Linked DNA regions of Saccharomyces cerevisiae S288C. Changing the gene in region 3 together with the main gene of any one other region gives a genetic interaction. Each region holds a gene or a part of one and is shown on either strand. Other genes may lie near its edges.

Region 1 (7,107 bases), on a different chromosome or scaffold from region 3:
TGACACAAGAATTAAGGCCCAAGCCATGGGATATAGTTATTGATTTCAGTGGAATCCGAAACTAAGATTAATAATGTAACAGGATATTGAACGACAGAATGCAAAAAGGAAAAAAATAGTAGCACTATTACTTAAAAATACCGATCTCCATTCATGGATCTTTGATCGTCATGAAGAACCCCTAATACATTCCGTATATTTTACCGAATAATGGAAACCTAGAAATTACCAGCAGATTCATCAATTCTTTAGTAGGCGCCTATTCTCGTGTGGAAACTATATTAAAGGGATTCGTCAATAACTAATCGTTACTCAGATTATCCCTATCAAATCGTGATAATATGTGGTAGGCCTCCATCTCTTCGCCAATTTTGCAAAACAACCTGAGAATTGGTCGTAATTGTAACCTAGAAAACTTGATATGAGCACAATTATAAGTTAAAATACGATACAATAATGTTGAGATTGGTTATTGATTAAATTCTATTGTTGTATATTACCAACTTACTCTCTATATTTGCGGTAGTGATAACCTCGTTAGAAACCTCAATCCATTGCAATTCTTTCCATGAACTTAGTATAAATTATAGAATATTAGTTTTCGTAGCTTGTAATGTATTTGAATTGGAACCATCTAATTGTTATCTGCCATTTTAGTATTTTGGACAAGCTCCAAATATGTGGTCCTAAGTTCATATCGAGGATACAGATTATTTGGGCCGTATCTTTGATGTCATGGAGAGTAGTGTGGCCTTCCAAGTCCTGGGGCAGCTATTAATTAGGGAATGTTTTGATCAACAACTTAGTGTTAATAGTAGACACAACGATGTGAACTGTTCAATACATCAGCAAACATTCTTAGTTTTTCTCATATTTTATGTTTACTTATGTTAACCTGCATTATTTCCATAAATAACAAAAGGCAAAAAAGTAACAAATGAAGTTATTAGGAAACAATAAAAAAACAATATCGAGAAAAAAACGACTGACTACATTTAAAGTAGAACGTCCAAGTAATAAATACATGTATATATTCAATAGAAGTAAATTTTAGGATGCTACAAAACGAATTCTTATCTATCTTTGTTTTCTAATCTTCCATCAGTAACTATTACCAATTAGACTATGTATATTTTCATTCTCATTTTCTAATCTGTTGATATCTTGCTCTAACCCCTTTATAGTCAATTCAAATTTATTGGCTTCGCGTATCCTGTACTCCTTTCTTCTAAATCTATCCTTTTCTCTTTTACTCAAAAATTGAGTACTGAACTTTTCTATCTCTTCTGCGTTCTGATCGACCTCCTTTTGTAACTTCTCGTTTCTCGCGTTCAATTTGTCCAGTTTAGAGCCTAGTTGAACTAATTCTTGATTGACCTTTTGGAACCTCCCTTCTGAGTTTTTCAGGTCTTTCGATAAGCTTTCTTCTAACTTACTGAACTCTAATTGATTTTTCAAGTGTAGATCTTTCTTTTTCAAGTATTCCTCTTCTAATTCAAGCTCTTTTTCAGTGAGAGTTTTCAATTGCATCTCTAACTTATTTACCGCAGTCTCACTTTGCTGTAGGGCAACCTTCAAATTTTCGACTTTTAAAGTGCTCTTTTCGTCATGTGTTGCGTTCTGTGAAATCCTGCCTTTAAAATAATCAATTTCTTGTCTCAAAAGACTTAACTTCTTGCTGAATTCCTTTTTTGTCTTTTTCAATTTTGTCCTTTCATCGGACAAATTTGCGTTTGTAGTTAGCACGGAATGCTTCAGAGTTAGCAACGGAGATAAGAATTTCCTATGGTAGTATGAAGGGAAGCTGAAATCAAGGTTTTCAAATTTTCCGGCAATCGCATTGTTATTCCCACAAGTCCTTACAATTAAATCAGAAACCAAATAATCATCTCGGTGATTTAGTCTGTTGATGAATTGAATATCATAAGAACAAGAAGGGACTAATCCGTTAACGACAACGTATTCTTCGCCTACATGCTCTAAAATTAAAGCGCAAGAAACTTCTGACCAGATAACACCGTTTACTAAAACAATGAGTTCGCCATCATGTAAATTTTCAATATGGAATGTAATAGAGTTTGTGCTAATATCAATAATGCAAACTTTGTAGTCATTATCATTTCTATTGAAAATATTTTCATTGGTGGAAACTAAATTTAAAAGATTGTAGTCATCAGATGTTGTCTTTGCAATCAGGGCCATAGTATTTGAAGGTTCGAAATTGTTAAACACGCTCTTCTTAAACTTTCCGGCATGGGTGAAACTAATTCTTGATGAAACTGAATGTGTATTAATCGTGTCCAAATCTTTGTCATGTTTTTCCTGATTACTGACGTATGAAGTATTCGAATTTGTTGGTGTTAGTGAATTTTCAGAGGTTTCTTGTAAGTATTTTTTTTCAAAATTCGTTGTTTTTAATGTAACTACCATAGACCAAAGAGGTGCAATCAAGTGTTGATTCTTTCTTCTGAATAGAAGACGGATAAAATTTTCCAAGTTTGATGTAACAGATATGTCTGAAGATAATTTGCTAGAAGAAAACATGTTCCCAAAATCAACATTCAGTTCAAACAGTTGGTTAGTATACTTGTCATTGGAAGGGGAAAAGAAATCAGAATCCTTTTTCGAATTTCCATTCGAGGAATCAGATAGAGAGATTTCATTTGACAAACTAGTGTTATCACCAGAAAAGTTGAACGTTGTAGGAGAGGTTGTTGTACTGGTAGTAGTAGTAACGGCTTGAGAATTGCTTCCTTCAGCAGAGATTACCGATGGCTGATATGACTTATATTCCTTGACCATAGAAGTGAAATAGGGAAAACTAGAAGTAGCATCAGTAGGATAAGAGGCGGCAGGGTTCAAAATATTACTGTGTGATGATAGGGGAACTGGCGAGTTATTTTGTTGGGATGGATGGATAGTTTGATTGCTGCTGCTAAGTCCACCTGGATCGTTCGGTATCATAGGACTTTGGTCCTCTAAAGTGTTCGAATCGGCAGAAACGGAAGAAGAAGAAGAAATTCTCATCTTTTGCAGACCTTGAACACGGGCTACATCTGGTTTAGTTGAATTGAAACCCTTTTTCAATGGCTTGTTTTCCGCTGTTTGTCTATGAGGGTGTAATAAACTTGAAGCAAATGAGAAAAAAAGGATGTGAAAGGATAGATAATAAATCATACTGTCTGAATGTTTGCCAAGCATCTTGAAAGGCATTGGCAAAAATAGAGAGAAAAGCTTTTTGAAAAACTGTGAATACTTGCGAAAAACCGTGAATAATTTAATTGATTGGCCGGTTCCTCGTAAAGACATATCAAATAACTGTATAATGTCAAAGAAGTGTGACACTCTTTGAAAAGTGTTAGTTGACACAGCATACAATACTGAGCATGAAGTTGCATAGCTTAAGCAATCGCTTGGATCATTGATCAAAAATGAGGCAATAATAGAAATTGCCAGATTTTTTATTGGCTTAACAAAATAATCGCCACCGTAAATCTTTAGTAACATTGCAAATAAAATTTCACAAATTAATACGGGGATCGGAATGACGAAGCTATTTTTTGAATTGCCAAAAAATCGTGAATTAGATTTTCGGTTTGAACTACCATTGGTCACTTTGGAAGTACTTATATCTATGTGCGCCACTTCACCGATATGGCGGGAAGGTTTTTTCGATAGGAAAAGTATAATAAAACAATTTGCCAGAAAATCTTTGCATTTGGTAGCAACAATAAAGGAAACCAATAAACATAGGGAAGTGAAGTGGTTAAAACTCAAAAAAACCAGGAACAATGCAAGCGTATCTTTAAACCTATGTTTTTTGGCAAATTCGGTGGGCTGTTCACTCCTTTTAGTGTTCATTAATGACTGTAGATGTGATACTTTCTTCTGATTAGTAAATTGTTCCTCCATGAAAATTGTGCATGGATCCTTTTATGTAACGGAGATAGGTGGAATCTTAAAAAATATTGGGGTGTATATGAATAAAAGTTATTCAGAGTGATTACCTAAAGAGATGGTACGAAAAATGTGGAGATAGAAAACAAAAAACTTTGGTAAGATATTATTATAACAGAAAGAATTTAAAGTTTTCTCTGCTGGTACTCTGTATAATCCTCTTAGTCCTAATAAAATTTGTTTATTCCTCTTTTAATAGAAACTAACGAGTTGTGAAAACCTAGTTATGTTACTTGTTATATTACACCTTCAAGAGGTTTAGGAATTCAACGTTATAAACACACAACTGCATAAGTTAGGCTACTTTTTTTTTTCAGATTGTCCGTATAATGCGATAATCGTTGAGTTCATGCCGATCTAAGTACCGAATTAGAAAAAAATGTGTCAAAAGTAGGCAGCCAATCTGTTTTGCTGCCATATTTTTCCTAACAGGATTTGCTATGTATGAAGTACGATAAGTATGAAATATTAGTGCTTGTACATACGACCAATTTGTAATAACTAGTGATGTAGAGAATAAACTTAAAGAAAACTTATGAATAAATAATTATGGAGATATAATTACGAATAATTATGAATAAATAGTGCTGCCTTAATTGGCACTTGCAATGGACCAAGTCTTGGCATAACCTTCAAGGTCAACAGGTTCCCAAGGAACTCCCAAGCATTCTGCAATGACTTTACCCAAATCTTCGTTTAGCAAACCAAAGTATTGCGTAACTCTCTTTTTGACTTTAGGATCTTTGATCTTACAAGCGTGGCAAACAACGTTATGAACGAATAATTTCTTCTGTTCATCGTTGTATACCTTTTCATATAGAGCTCTTGGCTGTTCGAAGTCTAGTGGACTAATACCATAAACGTAGTAATATTGATTAATTTTGGCATCAACAATATGCTCGTTTCTGATTTGGTCTTGTTCCTGTTTTCTCACAGAAACTTCTGTTACTTCGTCAAGAACTATCCCTTTGAACTTATCAGATACTTCGTCGTTGTCTTCATTTTTGAATTTCAGAGTTTGATTTGGTAAACTGGAAATATAATTTGGCTCAGGACCGAAATTGTAGTAACTCATTGGGCCGTCCCTTTGGAAGTTCACTGCTTTAAATGGACACTGTTCGGCAGTGTATTGGGAATCACCTTTGGAGTATGGACATCCCAAGTTTCTTGGTCTGTTGACGGGCAATTGCTGATAGTTGGCTCCCAATCTATGACGTTGAGTGTCTGGATAGGAGAAAAGTCTGGCTTGTAGAACGGAATCATTAGAAGGCTTAATACCTGGGATACAAGTGTTCGTTGGACTGAATGCAACTTGTTCAATTTCTTGGAAATAATTGTCAACATTCTCCGTTAGGGTGATGGTACCAAATTTTCTCAAAGGGAATTCCTTGTGTGGCCATATTTTCGTTAGGTCATTTACCGAATACCTGAACTTAGTTGCTTGTTCGGGTGTCATTGTTTGCACATAACAGTTAAATTTTGGCTTTTCGCCATTTTGCAATTGAGTGAACAGCTTTGCCTGATTATAATCAGGGTGGGAGCCTGACAGTTCAGCAGCCTTATCTCCAGTCAAGGTTTCAAAACCAGTATCCGACAAGACGTGGAATTGCACATATGTGTCCTTACCTTCTTTGTTGACCATGATGAAGGAATGACCAGAGTACGCGTTCATACTAGCCCACGAAGCAGGAGTACCTCTATCACCAAACATGTAAGTTATTTGATGGATTGATTCCGGATTCAATGTTAGATAATCCCAGTATATGGTAGTGTCCTGAAACTGATTCAGATGAGACTGAGGGTCTCTCTTTTGCGAATGAATAAATACGGGAAACTTAATAGCGTCTCTGAGGAAGAAGACGGGAGTATTGTTGAAGACCCAGTCATGGTTCCCCCACTCGGTATAGAATTTAAAAGAAACACCTCTTGGGTCTCTTGCAGTGTCTGGTGTACCACTTTCACCACCAACGGTGGAAAAACGAACAAGACCAGGACATTTGTAACCCACATTCTGGTATGGAGCGGCGTATGTAATATCACTCAAAGAATCTGTTAGTTCGAACTCCAGTCTACAACCACCACCTTTGGCATGGACTACACGCTCCGGAACTCTTTCTCTATCGAAACTTGCAATATTTTCCAGCAGATGGAAGTCTTGCAGTAAGATAGGGCCGTCTGGTCTTGAGTATTGAGAAGCGTATGGGTGATGAGAGTACGGAAAACCGTTTTGTAGAGAGTAAACTTTTTCTTGCTTTTCTTCTTTTTTACCGAACACGTTCATTTGTGAAGCTGAGCTGATTGATCTTATTGGCATGAGACAAGAGAAGGATTTTTTTAATAAGGGCAAGTAACGACAAGATTGAGTTCTGGAATAGAGGTAAAGCAACGACTTCTTATACGTGTAGCAGTAGGGGATACGATAAATGCACAATGTGTCCAGGCTACGTCGAATCCTTACAAATTCTACCTGTTGAGGGAGTCGGGGGCATTATCGGCTAGGCTAGCCTGCAGCCAGAGGGTGAAGTGAACTATACTTTTTCAGCATACGAATAGTACTGGCAATGACAATAATAACCCTTCTGGATCGGCGACGTACTCATCATTGATAGGAGGAAACAATACGCAATTTCACCGCTTGGCCCCTTACCGGTGATCCCCTTGAAAAAGAGGGCCGTCCGCGGTCTTGGCTTAGGGTCTCTGTGAAAGCACGCAGGAGAGCTGCTCAACGCGGAATGGAGATAACGGAGGTTCTATCCCCATGTGCCTCGTCATCGGTTCCTCATCATCTCTGGCTTCTTGAATTCGTTTTATTGTCACCATACAATAAGTTTGACGTCGTGAAGGCAGTTTAGTTCTCGGACTTGCAACCCCTAATCTTCAACGTCGAAAATACCTTATGACGCATATTTTAATTTTCCATCTCGCAACTAATGCTACCCTATTTTCTCTTACCAGCGAACACAATTCAAAAATTCTTAATGTTTAGCAGCTCATGCTGATATCGTATTACTATTATTACTGTGGTCATGCTAAAAAGCTGACTTATTCAATTTAATTTTTTTCTTTTCTTTTATGTTTTGATAGACAAAGGTTTTTTTTTACCTAAAATTCCTCTTTCCTCACGGACCATACGATTAAAATCATGGAAAT
Region 2 (7,263 bases), on a different chromosome or scaffold from region 3:
AAAACAGAAAAAAGAAAAAACCCATTTGAATATAAAAATCATTGATGCAAAAGAAAGCCGTTAAATCTACAATGCCACGAAATTATTGTAATGTATGAAAAAAAGGAAGAGGGTAGCAATCCTAAAACAAAAACCCTAACAATACACATGATGCAACTGGAACGCATCAGTATTTGTAGGTTTTTATTTCGCGGATAGCGTTGCCATCAACGTCGACCTCGGTGGATTCACTACGGTAAATCTGGGTAGGTCCGTTACAGTCGAAAGGATGTTCTTTAGCATAGTCGAAGGCCTCGGAGATGGCCAATTTGACTTTTTCCAAAGTATCTCTGGTGACTTGATAGTGGAACGAGACTCTACCACCCATTAGCTTAACGTTGTACTTCAAACCCTTCTTAACAAGGACATCTGGGTCCATTCTAGCGGCCTTCAGGTTAATAAAGACAAAGTTGGTGTCTGCTGGAGACTCTAGCGGGATGCCCTTTGCCTCACAATATTCGGCTAATTCATGAGCCAAAGAGTGCGAGTACAGCAATTGGGACTTCCAATCGTTGTTGATGTTTACAAGAGCCATTCTAGCCATCATACCAGATTGTCTAATACCACCACCTTGTTGTTTTCTGAAATGGGTGGCCTTCTTGACAAACTTAAGGTTCCCAACCAAGACGGACCCAATAGGAGCACCCATAGACTTGGATAGACAGATGGAGATGGAGTCGAAGATTTCCCCATATTGCTTTAATGGCACGCCAGATTGTGCAGCGGCATTCCAGATTCTGGCACCGTCACAATGTAGTTTGAGACCATTTTCCATACACCAAGCTTTGATGCGGACCAGTTCTTCCAATGGATAAACAATACCGTGTAAAGTGTTTTCCAGAGAAATCAATCTGGTGGGGGCACCGTGAATATCACCGTCGTCTGGGACGTAGTGTGACTTGATGTCTTCCAAGGTCAAGTAGTCACCGTTGGAAGGAACCACAGGAACCACCATCGCTTGAGACAAGATCGCCAGTCCAGCGGCTTCGTGAGTGTAAACGTGAGCCCTGTAATCACATAGAATAGAGTATGGAGGTTGCATCAAGTGAGTTCTGATGGCAATCTGGTTGGACAAAGTCCCAGAGACACAGAACAAACCTGCTTCTTTGCCAGCCATGCGGGCAACGGTCTGTTCGAGCCTAACGGTGTCAACATCTTCACCGTAGACAGCGTCACCGATAGAGGCCTCTAAAGCGGCCTCCATCATCTCTGCAGTTGGAGTGGTGAATGTGTCTGACCGCAAGTCGTTAGCAGCGGTGATATATTTTGGAGGCAATTCGAATTCAGTCATTGTGTTTATGTTTGCGTTTGTGTGCGGGAGTAAAAGTGAGTGTAAGCCTAGGAAAGGAGGTGGTTACGAACTAGCCAGCGGAAACAATGTACGTATATGTATGTAAGTATTACTCTATACCAGACAGAACAAGATAGACGAGAAGGACACATGGAGGATTTGACAGGCAAGCTCAACACTTGCTTATATATATACACATATGTGCTATTGCAAATGCAAAAAGCGTATATCCAGTGAAGAAAAAGACGAAAAAAGACGAAGAAATAAAAAGAAAAACCGGTGAACGAATATGGCAAGTGAAAAAGTGCGCAATGAGTAATACAAAGGGCGAAGCAGCGGGAAAAAAGAAACGGCGCTGCTGCCCGGAAACCGGAAGCGAAGCTTTGTGGGGTACGGGTGCATGCTCGGCTTTTTCCAGATAGGGGAAGTGCCGTCGCCAAAAAGGCAAGGGTCCGTTTCGCGTGACATTTCATAGCGGGCCAAGCGTGGGTCACGTGCTGCACAGGCCTGCCGCTGGCATGATTTGTCAGCACATATACAACAAGAAGTATTGGTTGCGTTGAAGAAAAAAAGAATAGTAATAACAATTTGGGGCCGTGTGTAAAAAAAATAGGAAACAGCTACCCCGGCGTGCCGTGTGGCTCTCTGTGCGAAGGAAGGCCCTGTCGCCGCACATATTCGATGAATATCGATGACGACGACTACCTTCTGGTTGCATAGTTTATTAGTCTGTGCCTGTTCTTCGGCGAGTGAGTAGATGAAAGAAAGAATGAGTTAGAGAGAATTCTAGGCCAGGTTCGGCTTAGTTAAGCTTAGCTTACTTTGGGTTTACTTAGCGTGCTTTTTTTCTTCCGCGCTGAGACGGTGAGGAATGGAAGTGTAAAGAAGCGAACGAGGGAAAAAAAGTTGTGACCTAGGGGAAGGTTAAAATTGTCATCATCATCAGCGTGAGAAAGTCGAAACAATGAGCGGTAGTAGGGGCAATAGCAGCAATAGTAGCGTCAGTAATAATAGTAATAATAACAATAATAATGACGGGGGCGACGAGAGATTGCTGTTTCTAAGAAGCGTGGGCGAACGCAATGAAATTGGCTTTCCCTCTAGATTCAAGTCGGCGCATTACAAGAAACCGACAAGAAGACACAAATCAGCGAGGCAGTTGATCTCGGACGAAAACAAGCGGATCAACGCCTTGTTGACCAAGGCTAACAAAGCTGCAGAGAGTTCTACTGCTGCTAGGCGACTTGTGCCCAAAGCGACGTACTTTAGCGTGGAAGCGCCACCGTCTATCAGGCCTGCCAAGAAGTACTGCGATGTTACTGGGTTGAAGGGCTTCTACAAGTCGCCTACGAACAACATTCGGTATCACAACGCAGAAATCTATCAGTTAATCGTAAAGCCGATGGCCCCCGGCGTCGATCAGGAGTACTTAAAATTGAGAGGGGCCAACTTCGTTCTAAAATAGGCATTGTATATGTATGTATGTATTTTAGCTTGTAGACAACCTTTCACACTTACATAGTTTGTCGCTGGTCACGTGCGACAATGCAAAATAGTGTAGAGTAAAGCTAAAAAGGACAAGATAAAGTGAAAAAAAAATAATAAAAAAAAAAAAGGAATATTGTTAATGGAAAGCGTGTAAAGACACATTACGCTCCTACCTAGGACTACCAACACATGCATGGATGCCAGTCTCTGTAATAACCACGGTTTTAGCATGTCTGTGGCTCTCTTATAGGCTCTATAAGTTTCTCACTATTCCTGTGTCCAGCATCGTCTCCACTTTGAAGATCAAAACTCCACCGGCAACAAAAGTGTCTATCGACAAAATAGCCACGGATTCAGTGACCATTCATTGGGAGAACGAACCTGTAAAAGCGGAGGACAATGGCAGTGCGGATAGAAACTTCATTTCCCACTATTTGTTGTATCTGAATAACACACAATTGGCTATCTTCCCAAACAACCCAAACTCCCTTTACACATGCTGCTCCATCACGGGTCTCGAGGCGGAGACGCAGTACCAGTTAGATTTTATAACGATTAACAACAAGGGCTTTATCAATAAGCTACCCTCCATTTACTGTATGACGAAGGCGAGAGAGGCGAATGAAGCGTTAAAGACTAGAAAATGGAGAAGAAACACCATCACATCGTCCACAGCTATGCAGCCCAGAAACTCCAAGTCCGAACCCGCCCCGTTGCCCTCTCACTACTCCTCTGTTTCCCTGTCTACTTTCTCATCCAATATTACTAATAGCGCCACCAGCAATAATGGTTCAAATCTACCCGCTTACACATCTTTGACTACGTTGAAGGATTTGGATTCGTTTTCCATCGATGATCTGAAAAAGATACTGATTTGCGCCCAGGAGGACTTACACGATGTGTTGTCCCAACAAACTTCGCTTTTGCAAGATTTTCAAGAATCGAAGTTAGAATTAGAACTAGAACTGGATAACTTGAAAACACATTGGTCGCACGAAATTGACTTGCGGAAATCCTTGAAATCCAATATCAAGTCATTGGAGAATTCTAAACTATTGACCGATTTGAAAATCGAAAAATTGAACAAGAAAATCGACAAATCCAAGGAAAAAATATCGAAAATGCGCAATGATATGCAGAAATGGTCTCAGGAAGATACCGAGCTGTTGTCTAAGGATACCATAAAGGAGAAATATTTCAAATTGCTAAATGAATCCAATGCCTCTGTGGCCAATATCAACAAAGAAATTGAGTCTTTACAAAATGAAATTTCCAAGATGGAGGAGTCTAACAAGAGATTGAACGCCTCCAAAAAATCATTGATTACTTCCATAGTGGTGAATGCCAATGTGGAAAACGATAAACCTATTGCTAGCGGAGAATTGTCGGCTGTTTTGAAGAAGCTCAATGATTTTACTTTAGAAAAAAATGGATTTTTAAGTAATGCTGGTGAAGAGTTTCTATCCAAATTGAATGCAGACTCATCATTGATTAAAATGATTAAGCAAGAGCTAAGCATTGATCAAGAATTGGAGGCCAACTGGAAATTGCAGAGGTCAAATTTGTTGAAGAAAATTAGTGCTTTAGAAAACCAATTTAATGAAATGAGCCTTAATAATCGGAATTTGAAAACAAAATTAATGGTTCAACCATATAAGAATAACGGTGATTCGCTTGCTGCCACCAATTCGAATAATTCCGCGGAAAAAAACAGAAGTTCTGGATCGATTCAATTACCATTATCCAACAACATGTCAAGAACGGGGTCCATTGATTTAATATCGAATAATAACAAAAGTATTAACAACAGTAATGCTGATTCTGCTCCTCCGTTGAGGTTGCACAATCCAGTTTCGTACTCTCCTTCGAATGAACCCATACAACCTTCAAGCAGTCTATTGAGTCAATTGACACAGGACACCGATAATCGATCAATGCTCTCCAATCACATCTCATCGAACAACGAAAACAAGCAACAGCCTTCTTCATATTCACATGCTTTACCTACAACTGCTACTGCTAATGCAACAGCAACAGCAACAGCAACTAATGGTCACTCAAGGTCAAATTTATGGACCACCGCACAATTCGCTCAACCTTCGCATCAACAAGTATCTACAGAATTGGATCAAGCTTTTGAATACGATAATGCAAACCACTTAATCAGTGGTTTGCAAAATATGATCTACGACGAAACAGACTATCCTGATAACATAAGCAATTATTCCAAGGGTTTTACTACAGACGAACTTGACAATTACTGGACTAAGCAGCAACCCCAGGTGCGCAGCACAAATGAAAGTCTTTTCTCTACGACTGGAACACCTATGTCATCATATAAGGCTAACCCAGTAATATCTCCATATTCTAGTTCTCATTTGCGACAAACCTCCAACGCAACCAATACGAATCCTATGCATCCACAGAGTCTACTCGCCGCTACATTGAATGATCCTTCATTACAAAGTTTTGTACGCAGTGGTTCTTTCTACAGTGCTCCGCAACCTGCAAACTCCTTACAGAACAATATCAATGGCAATGAAACCGAGAACATTAGTCCAAGGATATCAAGTGACTTCAATTTATTGGTGCCAAACTTGAGCCCACGACTCTCAAACGATGTGCCCATTGTTCCAGGCAATAACACTACTTTAACACCTTCACACTCGAACATATTAACAATGAACCATCAACCAACGGCGGATAACATTACACGAAGATCTTTCCATGCCTCTTCACCACCTTTCAACTCCATATGGAATTCAAATACAAATCAACTTTCTCCTCCATTGGAGGAGCAGTATCACCTCGATGTGCCTGTGGGTCCAAAGGTTCCCGCTAAAGAACCAAGCCCTAAGCCTTCTCACAAGAGGAACCAAAGTAACAGCAGCATTTCTTCTGCATGGTCCAAGTTTAAGCACAAGTCTGCATCATCACCTGCTAATGCGGACACGGATATTCAAGATTCATCAACTCCATCAACTAGTCCAAGCGGTAGAAGAATGTCAAAACTGTTGTCCAAGAGCGGTATGAATAATCTATTTAACCCGCACAGTCACGACTCATGAACAATATTATAATACTTCCAGGTCGTGTATATATGTAGATATATAAATTATGAAACATAATATATGAAAGCAGTTTGAGCTTATTCTTAATCATCAATAGGGTAACGGTATTAATCTCATTTTTTCTTTTTTTTTTTCTTTTTATTTTGGCGTCTCGTCTCAATTTCATTTTTCCCATCTTTTTACAACTTCAATATGAAAAACATAACACATGAAAAATAACTGTCAACATTAATAATATTCCTTGCATAGTGCTTCGATTTTCCAAATATAAAAACAGTTTCTTTTACAAGCTTATTTAATTTTGGTTTTAAGGAGAAAGCACTAATAAAAAGGGCAAGGACTGCAATCAACAATCTTTATTGGCGAACAGTTAAGGGTCCTCTCGAGAAGAAACATTAAGACATCATCGCACAAAAAACATGGCGCCCATCTTTAGAAATTACCGGTTCGCTATCGGTGCTTTTGCCGTTATTATGCTCATTTTGTTGATTAAAACATCTTCCATCGGTCCACCTTCTATTGCACGTACAGTTACTCCTAATGCTAGTATTCCCAAAACTCCGGAGGACATCTCTATCTTGCCCGTCAATGATGAACCAGGTTACCTTCAAGATTCGAAGACTGAACAAAACTATCCTGAGCTTGCCGATGCTGTGAAGTCACAAACAAGTCAAACATGCAGCGAAGAACATAAGTATGTTATCATGATCGATGCCGGCTCTACCGGTTCCCGAGTACATATATACAAGTTTGACGTCTGTACTTCCCCACCTACATTACTTGATGAAAAATTCGACATGTTAGAGCCTGGTTTATCTTCTTTCGATACCGATTCCGTTGGTGCCGCTAACTCCCTTGACCCATTACTGAAAGTAGCAATGAACTATGTCCCTATTAAGGCAAGAAGTTGTACTCCCGTTGCGGTGAAAGCTACTGCAGGCCTAAGACTCTTGGGTGATGCCAAATCTTCAAAAATTTTGAGCGCTGTAAGGGATCATTTGGAGAAGGACTATCCTTTCCCAGTTGTCGAAGGTGATGGTGTTTCCATCATGGGCGGTGATGAAGAAGGTGTCTTCGCCTGGATTACTACAAACTACCTATTAGGTAATATCGGTGCTAATGGCCCCAAGTTACCTACTGCTGCCGTTTTTGACTTAGGCGGAGGGTCTACACAAATTGTTTTTGAGCCTACTTTCCCAATAAATGAAAAAATGGTCGATGGTGAGCATAAATTTGATTTGAAGTTTGGTGATGAAAATTACACCTTGTACCAATTTTCTCATCTAGGTTACGGTTTGAAGGAAGGAAGAAATAAAGTTAACTCTGTTCTTGTGGAAAATGCATTAAAAGACGGCAAAATATTGAAGGGTGATA
Region 3 (5,005 bases):
AAATATAACTTTCCTGCGATTTTATATGTGTAAAGCCCAGAGGTTTACTAATAGAGTGGCTTCCCTTGCTTTCTAGAAATAGTAAAACACATTGATTAAAAAAAGATATATTGTCGATTTTCACTAACTCATCGCTGGGGAACAAAAATTTTTTCATTATCATCACAGTTCATCATGTTCGACGAGCTACGTGCCAATTCATTTCCTCCACTAGTCTCCAACTTAAGAAATACTCTCAGAGGTTGCAATCTTGTGCTGTTCAGGGTGTGATGGGCAGCATTGACTAAATTTCCTTATCCCTTGCATAGTTACATTCTTAGTTATCAGGTATTGGCGACCAATTGCATACATTTTTATTTTCTACTTTAAAACTCAGTAATGAGCAGTTACCGGCCCTTCATTATGTAGAAAAACAGGATTCACTTCTTTCTACACAAGATACAAAAAAGAAAAAAAGGATCGATTGGAGGGTAAACGAAATCGTGTGATAGGCAGGAAAAGAAACATCTATTGCTACTTTAATTGAATTTGTGCTCTACTGAAATTTTTCAACAGAAGAAGTGCTTTTACTTCTCTCAATCTCTCCATGTCTCCCTTAACTAGAACCGTAGCTATAAAGAAAACGGTTAAGGTTCTATCTAAATGTCAATCTGGTAGAGAATACACACAGAAGTTTCTCCAACGTGCATATTCAACATCACATGCCAACAGCACATACTATTCAAGGACAAAGCTATTCATATCATCACATTCTAAAGCTCTAAACATTGCTCTACTAAGCGGGTCCCTACTGTTGACCTACTCCTACTATTCCCCTAAAAAGATCCTCTCCCTTGATACAATTAACGGAATAAAAGATTATTCTACAAATACTAGTGGTAACATTAACATGCCGTCACCTAATCCAAAAGGAACAGAGACACAAAAGAGTCAACGGTCTCAGAATGACCAATCTGTTCTTATCTTGAACGATTCTAAAATAGAGGCTAAACTACATGATAGAGAGGAAAGCCATTTTGTTAACCGTGGCACTGGTATATTCAGGTATGATGTGGCACAGTTGCCCTCTAACCATCCAATAGAAGACGATCACGTAGAACAAATCATTACCATTCCGATAGAAAGTGAGGATGGCAAGTCCATAGAGAAGGATTTGTATTTTTTTGGAATTTTTGATGGACATGGTGGTCCTTTCACTTCGGAAAAATTATCTAAAGATCTAGTCCGTTATGTAGCGTATCAATTAGGTCAGGTATATGACCAGAACAAAACGGTTTTCCATTCCGACCCCAACCAATTAATCGATTCTGCAATTTCGAAAGGTTTTTTGAAACTAGATAATGATCTTGTAATCGAATCGTTCAGGAAGCTGTTTCAAGATCCAAACAACACAAATATTGCAAACACTTTACCAGCGATTTCTGGTTCTTGTGCACTATTAAGTTTATACAACTCCACTAACTCAATTTTGAAAGTGGCTGTCACTGGAGACTCAAGGGCTTTAATTTGTGGTTTGGACAACGAGGGCAATTGGACGGTAAAGTCGCTATCCACCGACCAGACCGGTGATAATTTGGATGAAGTACGGAGAATTAGGAAAGAACATCCAGGAGAACCAAACGTTATAAGAAACGGAAGAATATTGGGTTCATTACAACCATCCAGGGCATTTGGAGACTATCGCTACAAGATCAAAGAAGTCGATGGAAAACCATTATCGGATTTGCCTGAAGTTGCCAAACTTTATTTTAGAAGAGAGCCAAGGGATTTCAAGACACCCCCATATGTCACTGCGGAACCAGTGATTACTTCTGCCAAAATTGGTGAGAACACTAAATTTATGGTGATGGGTTCGGATGGTTTATTCGAATTACTAACTAATGAAGAAATTGCTTCCTTGGTTATCAGGTGGATGGATAAAAATATGAATCTGGCACCTGTGAAGGCAGAACCGGGGAAATTACCAAAAGTTATCGATGTATCTGAAGACAAGGAAGCACAAAGACCGGCATTCAGGTACAAGGATAATAATTCGAGCTCACCATCAGGATCAAACCCAGAGTATCTTATTGAAGACAAAAACGTCGCCACTCATTTAATTAGAAATGCATTAAGTGCGGGCGGAAGAAAAGAATATGTATCGGCATTGGTAAGTATACCATCGCCGATGAGTAGAAGATACAGAGATGACTTGACAGTAACAGTGGCGTTCTTTGGTGATTCTGGAACACCCTCAATTGTCTCCAATGCTACTTCAATAGTTATGAACCCGGAGGCAACAACAAAGCCAAAACCTAGATTATGACGATATAAACTTATGCTGAGGTAGGTATATACCAGAGGATTTATTTTATAGATATTAGTCTGCTGATTATCTAGTTTCTTGTCACCTCATACGTGTTTTTTTTTTTTTTGGTTTTCTCGGTTTGCATTATGGGGCTTTTTGCTAAAACAATATCCCCGAAAAGACAAAGAAAGAGAAGTGAGGTGAAAATACGAGCAGCTTATCTTATAAAAGTGGCAACGATTTTAAAAATAAAAAGCAAGATCGTCGACTTATCTAAGCTATAAAAAAATATCCCTTTTATCACACAAAAAAATGAACACATCAGTCACTTCCATAAAGTTGGTACTGTTGGGTGAGGCAGCAGTTGGTAAATCGTCAATAGTCCTAAGGTTTGTATCTAATGATTTTGCCGAAAATAAGGAGCCCACCATTGGTGCAGCATTCCTCACTCAAAGAGTTACTATAAATGAACATACTGTTAAGTTTGAAATATGGGACACTGCTGGGCAAGAGAGATTTGCATCTTTAGCACCTATGTACTATAGAAACGCACAAGCTGCTCTTGTAGTATACGACGTTACAAAACCACAATCCTTTATTAAAGCGCGCCACTGGGTTAAGGAATTACATGAACAGGCATCAAAGGATATCATCATTGCGTTAGTTGGTAACAAGATCGATATGCTGCAAGAAGGTGGGGAAAGAAAAGTCGCAAGGGAAGAAGGTGAAAAGCTAGCGGAAGAAAAGGGCTTGTTGTTCTTTGAAACAAGTGCAAAGACAGGAGAGAATGTTAACGATGTATTTTTGGGAATCGGTGAAAAGATACCACTGAAGACGGCTGAAGAGCAAAATAGTGCAAGTAACGAACGTGAGTCGAACAATCAAAGAGTGGATTTGAACGCTGCTAATGATGGGACCAGCGCAAACAGTGCTTGCAGTTGTTAGAGAGGGGAAAATAAATATATATAAAAAAAAAGTCTGGGCAAATTGAGATAAATAGATCTTCAAAACGGGAAAGATGAAAGTCATAATTTATCGTACCTAGAAAGGAGAGGGAGTTTTCATTTTTTACCGTAATCGTTGTTTTTCTTTTCTTCTTATAATTTGTAAATTTTTTAACTGCATTAGATCATTATATTATCTTTCAAAACGCCAGTCGTTTTTATTAGACCTTTATATACGTTTCAAAGTGGTTTGTACACGTTAGTTTAGTTAAACTTTTGTTTTCATGTAGACCAAAATATAAACTTATTTTATGCCGAAAATCGGGAGATGGATTAGTTAATATTGTAAATAATGATAAATTAAAGGAACATTAAATTTACAAAGTTGCAATGAGGAGCAATATATATATATATATATGGATTTCTGAGAAATTAATTAAGCAGTATTTGAACACATGTCGTTTACTCTTTCTTATCCTTTATGTCTAATTTTTCGAGTAGATCGGTAATTACAGCTGTCAAGTTTTCCACTTTCTTAGTGAGCTCTTTGACTTCATCTTTATCTTCACCAGCATCATCTTCAGTGTCATCGTTATCATACTGTTCGAAGGAGGGACTGCATTTTTTAACGTTTTTATACCACTTCTTAGGGACTTTAAAATGGACATCTTCCTGCTCTGCTGTTCTTTGCAGTTTTAGCGAACGGGAATTCTTTAACTGGGTGGCTCTCATGCCAGAATTTCGGTTATCAGAAAACAAACCGTCATCATCATCCAAGTAGCCATCTGTCAAATCCCATGGAGTATCATATTCATTGGCATCATCGTTTAACCTTTTCATCCTGTTATATTTTATCCTTCTAGCCTCCCGAGTTTCTTTAACAGAAATAAGCAACAAAAATGGGCTGTACACTATTGTCATTACAGTATAGCTCAAATCTTTAGCACGCTTCGGTGGAAGAATACGAAAGATAGGTGTCATGAACACTTCAATTAAGTTCAATGGAGAAACATAGACATCTTCATCAGGTGCTCTAATGTATCTCAACGTCTTTTGTGACATCAAAGCCATGTACTCGTCATCTGCATTGTCAATAACTTTTTGGTACGCAGTCGAATACAAAGCAATTAATATATTCAAAAGGATAACCGAAACAATAAAATAGTAACCATAATACAGTATTGCCGCATATGGGGGAGCGAATTCTTCGAAAACATCAAAACTACCAAGACCCAAAACGGTGATTGTTAAATTACCCAGGATGGGTCCGGTGATATCTCTCTTACCATCTGCGGAATCCAAACCTAAGAAACCTTGAGTGAATCCTATCATTATTAAGAATAGAAGGAAGAAAAATACAATGGATTCTTTCATCATATGTTTTAGGATAACCAACATAATCCCAATAAACCTTTGTGATTCAAGGTATAGTAGGAGTCTCGACCACACAAATGGTGCTGCACAGGATAAGACTCTATATGATATTTTATCCCAATCTTCTGAAGAGTATTTTGCATTAAGGGGCGTTACGCTCATTGCACGGAACCCCATAGCAAACGTGATTATCAAATATGTGGTATCATTAAATAAATTCCAAAACGATAGGTGCGCATAACCAATATAATAAAGCTTAGTGAGCTCATCCAAGATGAAACCAGTATTGAAAACATAAAATATGCTTTCTAACAAATCGAAAGATTGGACTCTCTCAGAGTCCTTACCATTAACCACCAAGGTATAAAGCCCTAGAAACAAAAATGAGAAGATCATCTGC
Region 4 (5,171 bases), on a different chromosome or scaffold from region 3:
ATCAACCCAACAGCCACGTTGTCATCTGCGTTCTCTCTCAGTTCGGTAAGCCAGTGGTTGCAATTTTCGTATGAACTTGATTTGCTTATATCATACACTATAAGTGCACCTACAGCACCACGGTAGTACGCAGACGTGATGGCCCTGTAACGTTCTTGACCTGCCGTGTCCCAAATCTGTGCTTTTATCTTCTTGTTTTCAACTTCAATGGTTCTTGTAGCGAATTCCACGCCAATCGTGGATTTGGATTCAATGTTGAATTCATCGGTTGTAAATCTCGACAACAGATTAGATTTACCCACACCGGAGTCGCCGATAAGAACTATCTTAAATAAATAATCGTAGTCGTATCCGTAATCTTCGTTGCTCATTCTTGGAAAACAATATGCTTGGTTCGCTCTTTATCACCACGCTTTTCCTCTCTTTCCAGCGCGAACCATGCAATGGCCAGCTTTATAGCTGATTCTTTTATTTGTCTTTATTGTGTTGCGCGTTCTAATGGAGGGCGCGCCGTACTATATTATATTATATTATGTTACGCTGCATTCTTCTACTGCGAGCTATATATATGTCAAAAGCTGAGTTTCTCAAGAGCTCTCAGCTTCAAGGCTGCACCATCGGCAGAAGTGTCATTCTCGATTGCCACTTGGGCTCTACTTTTCTCCAGTCCTTCCAGCAACATGCACGCCTTGCAAATGTTATTTGACGACAGATATCCACATCTAGCGCATCTATTGCCGTCAACAAATTTGACGACTCTCTTTCCAGCGTTAGATTTTTTAGCCTTTAATGCCAAATTTTCGCCACTTTGGATGATGTCTATAATGCAACTGGGCCTCACTGCTTCCAGATTCTTCATGTATTCTCTCGCAGTGCCCCTAAACGCTTCTGGGGCATAGGTACACTCAGTGGAAAAATAATCCAGCTTCATGTAGTGCGCATACAGGACAATTTCCTTTTGGTAAGAATATTTAAATGGTTTTGATCTCTTGATGGGAGAGCCGCTACTTTGTGTGATAATCGCAGTCGATTTTTCCAATCTTGCTACGTCACCACGTAGGATATTCATTAGTACTGTCTCTGCCATATCGTCTGCATTGTGGCCGGTGACAACGTGAGATATGCCCAGCTTTGCAGCACCACGGTCCAATGATTGTCTTCTAAAAACACCACAATACGTGCAACTGTTCCTTATACCAGCAACGGATACAATCTCATCCATTGTCCAATCATAGAGGTCCTTAAAGGAAAAAATCTCCAAAGGAAGGCCATACTGCTGCTGATTCCTTTTCACCGTGGCCAAGGAATCATCTCTGTATCCGATGATTCCTTCGTCAATACTCAACAGTACAATCTCAATGCCGTAATCGTAACGGTCATTCAGAAGCTTCAGCATATGCGCTAACACCGTGGAGTCTTTACCACCAGAGGCCCCCACGGCTACTTTTTCTCCCCTCTGAAACAAGTTATTTGCTACAATAGTGTTATGGATCTCCGTCTCGAACACGAGGCAGAAGCATTGTTTGCAAAGTTTAGACAGGTTTTTGGGTCTTCTAATGAGAGCCTTTCTTGAATGACATAGTTCACACAACTGTGATACCTTCACTTTTGTCGGTTTATTGACGGGATCTGAAGGAGCAGTAAACGACATGACGGTTCCTTTGCTTTACTCTTACCATATCGTCTCATCGCCAAAATTTTTCAATTACTAGATTTACAATTTTTTTTTTTAGTACAAATATACTCTCAGGATTTGTAACCCGGATAGTAACTCATTAATTCAAGCACTGTTGTTAAAATGTCTAGCCTTCTTGTTGGCTATCTGTAACCTCCTACCAGTGTTATCGACGTCATCTTCAAGTGCTGTAAGTAGCTCATTCTGTGTTTGCAGCTCCTCGTTCATCTCTAAGGCCAATCCACGTTGTGCCTGGATAATTCGGTGCAGTGCAACCAACTCTTGTTCTTGATCGCGCACCATTTGCATCTGCCCCTGTTGCAAATCGTTATTCGTTCTTCCTTGAACTTCCGTGGTTGAAGAGTTGTCACTGGTGGCAACCCCCAGAAGTCGTCCACGGTCCTGAGCTATGTTTGCTGTACCAATGTCATCGCATTCCTTGAGCAAGGACCTCAATAGAGCGGCGCGACGAGTCACTTCCGTGCTTGGAAGAGACTTCTTTTGCACATCCTGTTCTAGTCGCTCTCGTAACTTGTGGAGCTTCGTACGTGCCCTTAGTGCTCCACGCACGCTGGGTGTGCCATCACTCTCCTTATCTAAATCCAATTTAATATCTCTTATCATCTCATCCCATCCCACTTCGTCAGCAGTTTCTAGATGCTGCTGTGACTTTTCTTGAGAAACATTTGGCTTTGACAACTGCAGGAAGTCTTGCGCTATTTTTGTGTCTCTCCATCGAGAATCAAAACGATCGTTATACAATTCATTGAGGAACCTCTCTAGTCCGATCCGTCTTTCATCGATCATTTCCGGATCATCATATCTTCTTTGCCACCTCCTGTCCAATACACCGGGCTTTTCAGGGAAGTCATATGGGATGGTGCTTCCTACATCTCTCTCCAATCGTGTCTTCAGTTTCCAAAACTCGGAATACCTTTTGTAAAGGCGCTTGTTTGGTGTACTAACACCGTATAAAACATACTTGGGGTTGATTTTAACATCGTCCACCTTGATTCTTAACTTTTCACTCATTTTCCCTACAGAATTAGCTGCCATCAATATCAATTATCAACCCTTATATGACTTTATTGTTTTTGTTTTTGTTGGCTAATTAATTGATACAAATCTTTAGGCGAAAAATAAAAAAAATATAAAGTAAAGAAGGAAAAATTAGGCGATATTAAAACAAATCTAAAATAAAGACAAGAAACGAAAAAGAGGTTAATCAAGTATTGGAAAAATGTCCAAAGTGTTTATTGCCACAGCAAATGCAGGTAAAGCTCATGACGCTGATATTTTCTCGGTTTCTGCTTGCAATTCATTTACGGTAAGTTGTTCAGGTGACGGTTACTTAAAGGTGTGGGATAATAAGCTGTTAGATAATGAAAATCCAAAAGATAAGTCATATTCTCACTTTGTCCATAAGTCCGGATTGCACCATGTCGATGTCTTGCAAGCTATTGAGAGAGATGCATTTGAATTATGCCTTGTTGCTACCACTTCATTTTCTGGCGATTTACTCTTCTATCGTATCACTAGAGAAGATGAGACTAAAAAAGTTATATTCGAGAAATTGGATCTTCTAGACTCAGACATGAAAAAGCATTCCTTTTGGGCATTAAAATGGGGTGCCTCAAATGACAGACTACTTTCCCATAGGCTGGTTGCTACAGACGTCAAAGGGACCACTTACATTTGGAAGTTTCACCCGTTTGCAGATGAGTCAAATTCTTTAACACTAAATTGGAGCCCCACGTTAGAATTACAAGGCACTGTCGAATCGCCTATGACTCCAAGTCAATTTGCCACTTCTGTGGATATCTCTGAACGAGGACTAATTGCCACAGGTTTTAATAATGGAACAGTACAAATTTCAGAACTATCTACATTACGCCCGTTGTACAATTTTGAATCTCAGCATTCTATGATTAATAATTCGAATTCCATCAGATCGGTGAAATTTTCTCCTCAAGGATCCTTATTAGCCATTGCTCACGATTCAAATTCATTTGGTTGCATCACTCTATATGAAACTGAATTTGGTGAAAGAATAGGCTCCTTATCCGTACCAACCCATAGCTCGCAGGCAAGTCTGGGTGAATTTGCACATTCTAGCTGGGTCATGAGTCTATCGTTTAATGATTCTGGTGAAACATTATGCAGTGCCGGATGGGATGGTAAATTGAGATTTTGGGATGTAAAAACAAAGGAAAGAATCACTACATTGAATATGCATTGTGATGATATTGAAATTGAAGAGGATATCTTAGCTGTTGATGAACATGGAGATTCTTTAGCTGAACCTGGTGTCTTTGACGTGAAGTTTTTGAAAAAAGGTTGGAGATCTGGTATGGGAGCTGATTTAAATGAAAGTTTATGCTGTGTTTGTTTAGATAGAAGCATCAGGTGGTTTAGAGAAGCTGGCGGTAAATAATCTCTAGTAATATCTTGATATATTGCATGTAACCTTACAATCATCCATTATTCTTTTTGGTTCATAAAATTTCAGTAATATTTAATACCTTTAATAAGCCAATGTATGAATTTCACTTCACAAAAATAAATTTGCTAGTAATAAAAAAAAAAAATTGGTTTTTTTATGTATTTCTTAAATATTAGAAAGAGATAGACTCAATTCTTACATATGTATATGTGGAGAACTTGAAAAAAAAAATTAATAACAAAGTAAATGAGAAAAAATGATAAAGGGAAAGAAAAGGACAAGATGTTAAAAATCCAGTGCTTTTTTTTTTTGGTTTTCATTTTTTATAGTTTTTATTCCTGTCATAAAATTTGTTTAGTTTTTAATTTTCTTTTTTTTTCATATTTTTTTATTTTTTTTATTTTTTTTAATAAGATCACTCACCTAAGAGGTCCATATGGAGTACTAATAAAAAAAGTAATAATAATAATCTTTCTTCTTTATTTCGTTTTTCAAAAATTTTGTTAGCTTCCGATTTTCATTTTAGGAAAATATGTTTCTAGATTTTTTTTTTTCAAATTTTTCAATTTTTTTATTATATCTGTTTCGAAATTCTGTTTTCTCATGAGAGAAAATAATAAAATGATAGATTAGAAAGATGATCCTGGGCAAAAGAGAAAGTAATTCGATGGGATCAAAGAAAAAATAAGGAAAAAAAAGTTTTCACTAATACACTGCCGAATACGGAAAGTAGTTTCGCTCAAATCTTGAATGATTTATTGTGTCATCCATTGACTTCCAGCCAAGATGATGACCGTAAGACTGATTATGGACGTGAGGGGGAGGTAATTGTGGAGCGGCAGGTAAAAGTGAGTGTTGTTTTTGTTGTTGCTGTTGTTGTTGACTACTGAAATTGTAGAAGTCGTAATCAAACTGAGTTTCCGAAATTGGTGAAGAATATATATTGGGGAATTGTTGATAGTAATTCAATCTTGGCTGATTATAGTTGTAATAGTTATAATAACCATTCATACTAGAAAATTCAGACCTTGAGTTACTCTGATAAGATGGTGA

The links.
Region 1: mutations in VPS21 (region 3) and NNF2 together harm fitness more than expected from each alone (negative genetic interaction), as found in Saccharomyces cerevisiae (3 studies listed by BioGRID).
Region 2: mutations in VPS21 (region 3) and GTA1 together harm fitness more than expected from each alone (negative genetic interaction), as found in Saccharomyces cerevisiae (3 studies listed by BioGRID).
Region 4: mutations in VPS21 (region 3) and VAM7 together harm fitness more than expected from each alone (negative genetic interaction), as found in Saccharomyces cerevisiae (3 studies listed by BioGRID).

Annotation. Positions count from the first base shown.
Region 1 is NC_001139.9:653,765-660,871, reverse strand, and holds NNF2 (Nnf2p), read right to left. Parts: upstream 3,913-7,107; coding exon 1,102-3,912; downstream 1-1,101. Other genes in the region: CTT1 (catalase T), read right to left, coding at 4,550-6,238.
Region 2 is NC_001137.3:67,463-74,725, forward strand, and holds GTA1 (Gta1p), read left to right. Parts: upstream 1-3,015; coding exon 3,016-5,886; downstream 5,887-7,263. Other genes in the region: threonine aldolase GLY1, read right to left, coding at 167-1,330; IES6 (Ies6p), read left to right, coding at 2,295-2,795; GDA1 (guanosine diphosphatase), read left to right, coding at 6,309-7,263.
Region 3 is NC_001147.6:488,423-493,427, reverse strand, and holds VPS21 (Rab family GTPase VPS21), read left to right. Parts: upstream 1-2,599; coding exon 2,600-3,232; downstream 3,233-5,005. Other genes in the region: type 2C protein phosphatase PTC5, read left to right, coding at 587-2,305; YVC1 (Yvc1p), read right to left, coding at 3,694-5,005.
Region 4 is NC_001139.9:88,992-94,162, reverse strand, and holds VAM7 (Vam7p), read right to left. Parts: upstream 2,732-5,171; coding exon 1,781-2,731; downstream 1-1,780. Other genes in the region: Rab family GTPase YPT32, read right to left, coding at 1-371; NCS6 (Ncs6p), read right to left, coding at 572-1,651; SKI complex subunit WD repeat protein SKI8, read left to right, coding at 2,916-4,109; CLG1 (Clg1p), read right to left, coding at 4,824-5,171. UniProt on the Saccharomyces cerevisiae protein: Essential for proper morphogenesis of the vacuole. May exist as structural reinforcement on the surface of the vacuolar membrane and be required for maintenance against rupture by osmotic pressure.